Linked DNA regions of Xenopus tropicalis. The protein of the gene in region 3 interacts with the protein of the main gene of each other region in a biochemical or structural test. Links are inferred from orthologs where the notes say so. Each region holds a gene or a part of one and is shown on either strand. Other genes may lie near its edges.

Region 1 (3,658 bases), on a different chromosome or scaffold from region 3:
TAAATTGATTAAATTATTTCATTTTTTTTTTTTTTGTAATAAACAGTACCTTATACTACATGGTAACTATATTGCATCAAATCATGTTGTTGGCAAAACAGTCCTTCTGGGTTTATATTTTATTTCATTTTTATTTAAATTATGGGGATCCAAATTCTAGAAAGAACCCTAATCTGGAAATCCCAGGTCCCATACATTCTGAGCAAAAGATCTAATGCCTGTGCAATCATACTCATGAAAAGAAATGTGTTTTGAATAGTTATGCTTTAAAAAAGTTGTGTTTCACCGTAATTTGAGACTTGCAAGCTGCTAAGCTTATATTAATGTTAACATTGGCCTCACTGATACTGACATTGTTTTATCTATGCAGGTACTACTACCAGAGAGGGATCCTTGCAAAAGTTGAGGGTCAGAGGTTGGTCTACCAATTCAAAGAGATGCCCAAGAACATTGTGGTTATAGAAGATGACAAAGCAGAGCCCTGTAGTGAAGAGATGGTGTCTCCCATAGATGACAAATCATTGGAGAGAGTCTCCATCCCCACCGAAGGAATCATGAAAATGGCAATGCCGGCTAGGCTAGAGAAGAGCCCAACCCAGCAGAGTTCTAATAGGAAGCCAAGACTGGTTAGCTTGTCCTCTCCTGTCAGTGAGGTATCACCTCACTCACCCACCAGCACCACGCCAACAGCACCACAGAGGTCAGTTGGTGTCTTCCACATTTTGTTTTCACTTAAAAGTGCATATAAATCTTAACACAGATCATATATCAATTATCTATCATATCCATTTATCTATATCTCTATCTTCTGTTGACAAAGACAAGATATATATACACACACACATGCAATTTTGTGCAATAAGCGGCTATAACATGCCCCCCCCTTAACAGATTTTTGACCATATGTTTTGTCTCGTCTGATTCAATAAGAATTCTACTGCTTCATTATACATTTTTCACAGTGAGTTTTACATGCAATTTGCTTTTTAAGGTTAAAACTTCATTCACAATGGTTGTCCTTTTATTGGCCACCACTGGCATCACCTGACTGTAGCTGGGATGGGTGGGAGCTACAGCATGGAGCTGGCCACTGCTTCTGTATAAACCATAGCAAAAAAGGGGGAAAGTTATGCTCACCAGTAAATTTTCAACCTTTAGATGGGGATGGAATAAAGTCAAGAGATCCTCTGCACTCACCCATTTTTTTTTTTTTTTTGTTAGACCTGTTGACATATAGCAGTAATATACTTCAAGTGAAAATGCATTACATTAAATTATAGTCATGTAAAAACATTTTACATTTCTTGTATAAAACTTTCAGTATATGTACTCCATACTGAACTCATCACGTTAAAGAAACAATGTTCCTATTTTAAATGTGTAAAGCTGAGTCTCCAGTTAACTTGGGGCTGCATTTGCAGTCATGGGGAAACCTCCTAGTATCTATCACTAAAAGAAAAATACATCCAAATTGCACTGAACAATCACTAAAGGCAGATGCCCTTTGTTCCACTTTTGTTGTACCGTCCGTTCCTACATAAAGACTCAATTCTTATAGTTGTGTAAAGCTGGAGTCTAATGTGCCCAGATAATGATCCAACATAAGCACATAAATAAACCGATGGAATTCTAAATCCTTATTTAAACCATGGGTGAAGAGCGTATCCAAACAAAAACATCCAACTGACTTTGCACTGCAGAATACATATATCCCAAAGTTGTTGCTTCACAATTCTGCATTACCTTCCTAAAACCTAAATTTACTTTTACGCATTTTATCATAGGTTGTCCGCTTTAGAATTAGTTAAAACACCAGCAAGGTTAATACATAACTTTTTTTTTTTTCTTTTCTATTTATTTTGTAGAACTGTCCGGGTGGCCATGCAAGTGCCTGTAGTAATGACATCTTTGGGGCAGAAGATTTCTACTTTGGCTGTTCAGTCGGTGAATCCAGGTTCTCCTCTGATTGCAAACAGCAGCCCAACAACAGCATCAGCTCCAAAGGTTGTCATCCAGACAATCCCTACAATGTTACCAGCATCGTCTGAAAGTGGAGACAAATTCACTGTGCAACCTGCCAAAATAATCACTATTCCAACTTCCCAACTCACCCAGTGTCAGTTGCAGACAAAGCCTGGATTAAGTGGGTCAGGGAGTTTAAATCTTGTGGGAACACCACTGACTGTGAGAGCACTTACCCCTGTTTCAATAGCTCATGGAACTCCAGTTATGAGACTGGCAATGCCAGCACAGCAAGCCAGATGTCAGACTCCCCCTAGGGTCATTAGCACCCTTATCAAAGGACCTGAAATTAAATCAGACATGGTAGTGAGCAGACAGGAGGGAGAGATAAAAACATTTCAGTTAATTAAAGACGATAAACCTGCAGATGGGGGCAAAACAGTTACCCATGTGGTTGTTGTCAGCACCCCTTCCGCAATCAACCTCCCCATTACTGTCAAACAAGAGACAAGTGTGGTGTGTGAAAAGTGACAAAGCCTGCCTGCGTCTCTAGAATTTTGTGTTAAACTGACATTTAAGAATCAAACGCTGATTAAACGAAACTTCTGGACAGAAAGAAGTGAGGAAGTCTGCGGAGACTTTAAACAAAGACAATATAAATATACGCAAATTACAAAAGAAAAACTTGACTGGAAATGAATTCTGTTCCCATGTTTTCAGTGGGATCTGTTCATGTTATGAAATGTTCCTAAGGCATCGGAAGAAAAAGCAAACTGAAAGGGACCAAAGTGATTGTTCAGATCTATTGTTTTCGTTTTTCAGGTTTTTTTTGTTACACTAAAAATAAAGAGGAACACTAAATGACATCGCAGGAGGTTGTTATCCCAGAACCACAGTAAATGTAAATGGTAAAGAAATGTGTACTGCTGTGTGTGCAGACAGCTCTCACTTCATCGGTGCTATGCGGGAGAAACTGCTCAATAAGTATTGTAGGCTAAATAAACTGTACCAACGCGCACGCAGGGAAATAACGCCCACTGAGTTCCGCAAGGGGATGACAGATGCAGATTTCATATTAAAGCCTTAGACTCGTTTTTAGTTTTATTTTCTGTAAAATAAGCTAACAGCTTGTTTATGTAAAGCAATTTTTATACATATTAAAAAAAAATGTAAAAAGAGAAAAAAAAAACCCATTGTACCTAGCACAGTATTGGTATAGAATTACACGTAACCTATTTTATACAGTAGTTAAAAGTATGATTTTTTTTTTTGTTCATTTTTGTTATATCTCTGAGTGTTTTGGGAAGGCCTGAAGCATCTCGAGCAGAAAGCTTTTCACGGGAGGGTACAAACTGTCTCATGGCGGAGACGGCAGGTCAGAGGAGCCTTTAAATGTAACATGCTTTTTTTGTTGTTGTTTTTTTTGCCAGAATCCCTTGCAAACATTTCAGTTTTTATGCTATCCATTTGAAAGGTCACCATGAAGCATGTGTCCATTTTTGGGTTATAGAGTTTGAAGCCTGCTATTTTTTTAGTTGAAGTTATGAAGGTGGGTTGCTTAGGGGAGGGCATGGGGGGTAAATACCAGTGTTCAGAATGAACTAAAATAGTTTGTATATTCAACATTTGAAGTATATTCTATTTTGTTGTACTCTTGTTTCAAAGTGTATTCGAGTAGATTTTACTGCAATATAGA
Region 2 (3,658 bases), about 80 Mb from region 3:
TGTCTATTAGTATATTCCTTTGTGTGGATTAAAGATATAAGACTTTCATGCAAGCTACATAAACCAACCTCTGCAGTCTGACAAGTTGTTTTCATTCTGCAAGGTTTGACTCATCTAAAATGACTCTTTTTGGGTGATTTTTGTCTGTTTTATGTCCCTGCTATTTTTCTTAAGGAGGCAACACGGCACTACTGTATAGTGCCATAGCCTGCCAAGCTGGCTCAGAGGAAAACAATTCTTGAAAGAAAACAGAATGAGTGTCATATCATAGAAATAAGGAACTTTCCAAATATAATAAATTACAAATTCTGTACGGTTTCAAAAATAAAGCTGTTACTCTTCACTATTCCCTTCTTCGTAATCACCCTTCATGCAGGGATCAGATTTTGATTGACAGGTCAAATACATTGTTGTGTGCTCCATTTGCTTGTGTTTTTAAATCTGACTTTCAAAATAACCAACCCTCACTGCATGTATGTTGAGAGATTGGGATAGTAGCCAGTAAAATAGAGGGGCATAGTTTCTACTACACAGGGGAAGGGCTTTGTCTTTGTTTTCATAATATTCATAGTCCAATCCAAAAGCATAGGATTGCCTTTGCTGGATGGGAAACACTTAGGGTGAAGACACACGGAGCTACTTAGTAGCAGCTACTTGTCACAGCTACTAAATGCTAGAAAATCCCCTGCCCATAGTGAGAATTGCCTCTGCTAAAACACACATCGAGACAGTTATCAGTAAATTATCAGCATTGTCTCTTTTAGTAGCCACGACAAGTAGCTGCTGCTAGTAGCTCCATGTGTCTTCACCCTTATGGCAATTACTAGCACAGTCAGACTAGCATTGTTTGCTTCACTATTTCAAGATATCCCTGTTTGACAGTCACCAGCATCTGCTTAAAGTTTGGTCATAAATATGCCAATATAATTGTTGTATGCTTTTTGGTGTGTATATGTTGCAATTTTGACAGATATCCATGTATTATAGATATTGATCCATTATAGATATTGGTCCATTAGAATATCAAACAAGCTTAACACTTTTATTCTGCTGATGAGCCATATGACAGGGTCCTGGATGTAATAGGCTAGGTTAGGGTAAGAACATCAATATTCCCAGTTTGTTAGGCATGTGATAATCTCCCGGTAAGCCAAAAATGCTTACCTTCTGTCTGGTCCAGTGTTACTCTTCTATTAAAAAGCAATGGCAGGTTAGGTTTGGCATGGATTGACAAATTGTCAAAACTAGCATCGCTAGTGTTAGGCATCTTTCAGTGACTAAAAAAAATGCTAGCCTTCTGTCTAGGCCGCTGTACACACATTGTTACATCACTGGCCAATTTTTTGGGCATCCCCCCCCAAAACAGCAATTGCGCAAAAGTGAACACAGTTGTATGCATTGATGCCATTAAATAAAGAAACTTGTGCCCAAATGCACTTTTTTTAAAATTTTCCTAAAGCTGAATTTGGCTCACGTGCTTCCATCCCATCTCCTGTTGTAAATTGTAAGCACTGGCACTGGGGAAACCTGGAAATATTGCCACCTACAATCTAGAGGTAATGCCTGGGTTCCCACTGTGGGCCGGAATAGTGCTTTTGTACCAAGATGAAAAACTAGCACAGTAAACCCAATGCTATTTTCAGTTTAAAACTCCAAAACTGTTTAGCTCGCGCACAATTTAAGCTCAAATTCTTTCGAATGGTAAACTGCGTTGCGCAAATCTGTAACGCTGCATAATTTCGAAAAGTTAAGGCTGCAAATGATGTTCCTTGGAATATGCAGTAATAGCCCTAAAGTGACAAATCTAGACTCCAAAATGTTTAGCACAATAGTCCGAATGGGCTTTACTAGCATTGGTGCAATGGTCTGATTCATGACGCAGTTTGTGAATTCGAAACAAGCTGAAGAATAGTGTCTGAAATAGCACTTTGCACACTGCACTTGTGGTGGTACATGAAAAAATCCCTAAAATGTAAAGCTTGTGGCATAAATCTTCATAACTGTTATTTGCTGGATTAAAATGCACACTGCAATTTCAACCTATTTATGTAAGCAGGTGCTGTCGTCTTTTGTTAAATAATTTTCTCTATTTGTTTACAAGGAACCATGCGAAGTGTGAGGAAATCACTTTATGCATCAGATTCTGCACCAGCCAAAGGAATTTCTTGGGAATGGATGAATGATGAAGCATGTTGGACTGCTTATGAAATGCCAATTACCATATACTTAGATGAAAATTACTGCAATAGAAGACCATTGGTGGATCTTGGAGCATTTGGACTCCCCTACCAGGCTGACTTAAACTCTGGCATTCAGATAAATAAAATGACAGGTTTTAGAAGACAAATTCAGAGAAGAGCTGACATTCCTTATCCGTTAACATCAGCAATGGGACCTGTTCATAAATCTGCAGCATGTCTTTGTCACCAGTGCCTAGCCAACAGTGCAGCGGGTCCTATATCTGGACGTCACCGACACTCCATGATAAACTTGCCCACCTCCTCTGGTAGCCAGCTTTCTAGGACTTCATTTGCATCATCCTTTAATGTTGGTTATGTACCCTATCCAAAGCCATCAATGGCCATTTCAAAGTCCACACCAAAACTTAATAGCACTTGGTTAATCTCTCCAGTCCCTCTACAGTTTCCAGGACCATCATCATCATCTAATGGAACCAGGTAAGTGAAAAGCCCTTCCAGCAATGGTGCAGCATGCTAATGCACTTATATGGGTATGATAGCATTAATGCTGAATGTCTGCATAGCACATTCAATTGAAACTTTCTTTTTTTCTGGAAAATTGTAATACTATAATAATCCTATGCTTACAAACAGTACATTATAGTCGTAACTTACACTATACACTGGATGAGTTTTTTTTTATTTTTCTTGATAGCACATTGTGTATAATCTCTTCCAGCAACTTGCATTTTGCCTATTAAATAAAGTTAAACTATTTCCCTCAGAAAGATGTCTTATATTGATGCTCTTGCCTTGAGTATGTGTTTTGCTTCTGGTCTTGCCCTACTTCTTACACTTTACCATGTGTCACATTTTTACCAGCTTAAAGCTGGCCATACACGCAACGATAATATAGGAAGAAACCTCGTTTCTTTCCTCACTTTTCCTCTCACCTCTTCCCTTTTTGACTCACCTATACTTTTTCTAACCATTCTGCTTTTTACTCTTTCCACTTTCCACTTACCCTCACTTCTTCTCTGCTTTTCTTTCCTCCTTTCCTTTTTTTTCTTACCATACCTACATTCCCACATTCACATTTTATGTGCTGTCCATTTTATATCTATGACCTCCATCTCTCCACTAGCTGCATTTTACTCATTTGATTTTTATTTGAATGCAGTTTATTTTTTCTTTCCTTCTTGTTACCTTCCACACACACCCTCTTTTTCTTACACATTTCATCTGTTATTTTTTTTTATTGGTTGATTAAAAGTTTTCAAATAAACATGAAAGCCAAACAGTTTTGGTTTTGTTAAACATCCATACCTTTTCTAAACTTATCCAAATATATCAGCTGTCAGTCATAATGTACTATCCTATCTTTCCCAGGTGGGCTTGCTTTTGTAGCTTACAGTAAAAATTATAGTATTTCTAACAATAAAGGCTTTACCTTGTTAACCATTAGTAGTAGTATATAT
Region 3 (3,473 bases):
CTCCGTTATCTCCTGATCAGCTCCATTAGCTCCAGCTCTAGACTGGCTCCATTACCTCTAGCTCTACATTGGCTCAATTAGCTCTAGTTCTTAGCTGGTTCTATATGCACCGGCTCTTCACTGACTTATTATTTCCAGCTCTAGACTAGCTCCAGATCTATTCTGACTCCATTAGCTCTAGTTCTCTGCTGGCTCCATTAGCTTCAGCTCTACACTGTCTCCATTAGCTTCACCCATACACTTACTCTGTTAGCTCCAGCTCTATTCTGGCTCCATTAGCTTTAGTTTTCAGTTGGCTCCACATGCACCAGCTCTACATTTGCTTCATGAGCTCCAGCTCTGCCCTGGCTTTATTAGCTTCAGCTTTAGACTGGCTCTATTAGCCTACATTTACGTCTAGACTGGTCTCTTTCACCATCTGTTTTGGCTGCATTAGTCTAACTCCAGAGTGGTTCCATCACCCATGAAAGGTTCTGTGATCATTTTACAGGTTTTGCTCCATTAGCCAAGTTTGGCTCTAAACTCGGTCTTTAAACCTATCTGCACAGAGGGGCTCCTCAGCCAGGACTCTACATAAGATTGTCCCTCTCAGCTCCAGTAGCAGAGTTCTGTAGTTTTGCTGCCATTGTTACTGACGGGTACCCTAAACCTCACCACATCCTTATTTCTCTGTTCTGGTCCAGCGGTCAGACTATAACACTCATTTGGCCATATCCAGGAAACATTGGGTCAGGGTGCACTGTTGGGATATCAGGATGACAGATGATAAGTTCCCCTTTAGATGCAATCATTTCATCAGTCCACAGACCCCAGAATGTAACAGTATGATCAAACGCTAAGGCCTAAATTCCATATTTAAGATAGAGACAAGACAATGAGAAATGGCTGATCTTATCCCCAACAAAGAAGCAAATCCAGCTCTGGCAATTATGTGCCGCACTGTTTGTCTGCAGGCGAGTTGGGACCTGATTCACAAAGAAAACTGATGTTTCCTCAAAGGGAAAATGTCTGCTTTGAAGTGTTTGTACATGGGACATGGGGCCCCGGAAAAGTGTCTTCAACTGCAGATGAATTCAGTTCTGACTGAGTTACTGAGACTGTTATTGAAAGCAAATGGAGCAATGAAAAGCTTTTGTTTTGTGCAGGATAAAGCTTGCCCCCCCCAAACTCACACATAACCATAACCAGGGGCAACCAGGAAGTGGTGTGGATCATACCACTTCCACACAGGGCCATCTTTCTCTCTGCTAAGGAAAGTTGGTCTGGGTCACAAGGTACATTTCCCAGCTAGTTTCCATACACCTTGTGACATGTGTGCTGCCATATTGTATTTGTTTCTATAGTTCTACCACCAATAGTTGTGTTTGTGCAGAAAATGACATTATTTTAGATATTTACAGTGTTCATTATTTTCCTTCTTCTCAGGAGCCTCAGACCTTACTGCTTTCAGTGATCCTCGAGTCGGCATTGACCGTCAGTTCTCCACTCTTCCATCCATCTCGGACCCCCGTATGCACTACCCAGGGGCTTTTACCTACACTCCAACCCCGGTCACTTCAGGTATAGGAATCGGTATGTCAGCCATGACCTCCGCCACCAGGTATCACACCTACCTACCCCCTCCATATCCTGGATCATCCCAGGCACAAAGCAGCCCATTTCAGACCAGTTCCCCATCCTACCATCTCTATTACGGAACATCGGCCGGATCCTACCACCAGTTCTCGATGATGTCGGGAGGAGACCGATCCCCGCCTCGCATCCTCCCACCTTGCACAAACGCTTCCACGGGGTCCACTCTCTTGAACCCTAACCTTCCAAACCAAAACGATGTTGTGGAGGCTGAAGGAAGCCATAGCAACTCTCCTACCAACATGGGAACCACCCCAAGGCTTGAGGAAGCTGTATGGCGGCCATATTGAGATGTTGCTACAGACATGGAACAAATGGAGGACACGTCAGATGGACGAGATATTGGCGAGGTGGAAAAACTGTGAAATCCTCTGGTTTAGCGACGCTGTGAAAAGGCAAAGATCAGAGGAGACATGGAGAGAATACGCAGACAGGCCACTGGCTGTTCCTCCTAGGGATTTACTATTTTCAACATATTTTGGATTACAATTTTTTTTTTTTAAATTATTTTAACCCAGATTTAAAATATATGTGGGGGTTTTTTCTGAACCAGAACCATACGCTAAATTATTGGAACGTTAGAAAGACTGGGCTTTGCGGCTTGTTACGGCCTATGTAATATAATGTCAGTCCCTATGAACAAAAAAAAGGAAAAAAAAAGTTTAAAAAAAAAATGACCCTGCTCTGAAATTTCAACATTTGCAGCCCTGTTAATAGGCACCTTACGGTTTGTTTTTGCTTTTTGCATTTTTAGCTTCCATTTATCATTTTTCCATTTTTTTACCTAAACTTTTGTATATTTTTATTGTAAGATTTCCTGCGCTCAGTGGCGCCGCTCAGTGGCCCGCCGGGTCCCCGCCGCCAAAAGTGTGCGTTGTATTTATACGTTGATGAGAAATTCAGGGTGTCCGTATCCGCTGAAACTTGTACGCTCCAAACGATACAAGGTTATTGTTTACATGTTTATTTTATATCGGAATGAATGACTTTTATTTAAATGCAATTTCTTTTTCCCCAAATTGATTGGACAAGGTTGATAGATCTGATCTGCTCAAAAGAACTTGATATGATGCTCATTTTGCCCTCTCAGTGCTCAAAAGAACTGCTTTTGTTTTGTTGTTTTCGATATATTAGCACTTTTTACACTTTGAAACAACAGTGCCGCCTACTGTTTATTTTTGTTAACTTCAAAAAATGAATTTTGGGAGAAGAGGAAAGTCTCTGCTCAGAAAATGAAGTTAGTGAGCAGAGAAGAGGCATCTGATAGTTATCTGGTTATTTATAAGCCAACAGATATCACAGGACTATCCTTTTCTCACAAAGTTAAGGTGCCCATAGACGTTAAGATCTGCTCACTTGGCGAGGTCGCCAAGCGAGCAGATCTTCTCCCAATATCCCCCCCTTTGGGTGGGCGATATCGGGTGAATTCATGCTAATTCGTTTGGCCCTGGGGCCAAATGATTGAATTAGAACGCGGAATAGGCGCAATCTGTTCGGGGACTGCATCAACGTGCTGATGCGGTCCCCGATCCGACTAAATTTTTTAACCTGCCAATCGATATCTGGCTGATTTCAGGCCAGATATCGGTTGGGCATTGCCGTCATTTCTGCCCCTACACGGGCCGATAAGCAGCCGAATTGGTCTAAGGGACTGATATCGGCAGCTACAATCAGCCTGTGTATGGCCACCTTTAGTTTTCAACCAACTGAAGTTGACCAAAGAGAACAGCAGATGGCGCTGTAGTTTCAAATACTGCTAATATATTGCAAACTAGAAAAGCAGTCCATGAAAATTGCTCAGACAGCCCTCCAGGAATATCACAGTTACAGAGAGTCAGATG

The links.
Region 1: the proteins of runx1 (region 3) and elf2 form a complex in vitro, tested with the Homo sapiens proteins (2 studies listed by BioGRID and IntAct). The link is inferred for Xenopus tropicalis from reciprocal best matches to the Homo sapiens genes RUNX1 and ELF2.
Region 2: the proteins of runx1 (region 3) and dtx2 form a complex in vitro, tested with the Homo sapiens proteins (2 studies listed by BioGRID, with this or other methods). The link is inferred for Xenopus tropicalis from reciprocal best matches to the Homo sapiens genes RUNX1 and DTX2.

What each region holds. Positions count from the first base shown.
Region 1 is NC_030677.2:61,147,887-61,151,544, reverse strand, and holds part of elf2 (ETS-related transcription factor Elf-2), read left to right. Parts: intron 1-370; coding exon 371-700; intron 701-1,865; coding exon 1,866-2,493; 3' UTR 2,494-3,658. UniProt on the Homo sapiens protein: Isoform 1 transcriptionally activates the LYN and BLK promoters and acts synergistically with RUNX1 to transactivate the BLK promoter. Isoform 2 may function in repression of RUNX1-mediated transactivation.
Region 2 is NC_030678.2:94,417,231-94,420,888, forward strand, and holds part of dtx2 (probable E3 ubiquitin-protein ligase DTX2), read left to right. Parts: intron 1-2,101; coding exon 2,102-2,678; intron 2,679-3,658. UniProt on the Homo sapiens protein: Regulator of Notch signaling, a signaling pathway involved in cell-cell communications that regulates a broad spectrum of cell-fate determinations.
Region 3 is NC_030678.2:13,969,022-13,972,494, forward strand, and holds the end of runx1 (runt-related transcription factor 1), read left to right. Parts: intron 1-1,425; coding exon 1,426-1,922; 3' UTR 1,923-2,817; downstream 2,818-3,473.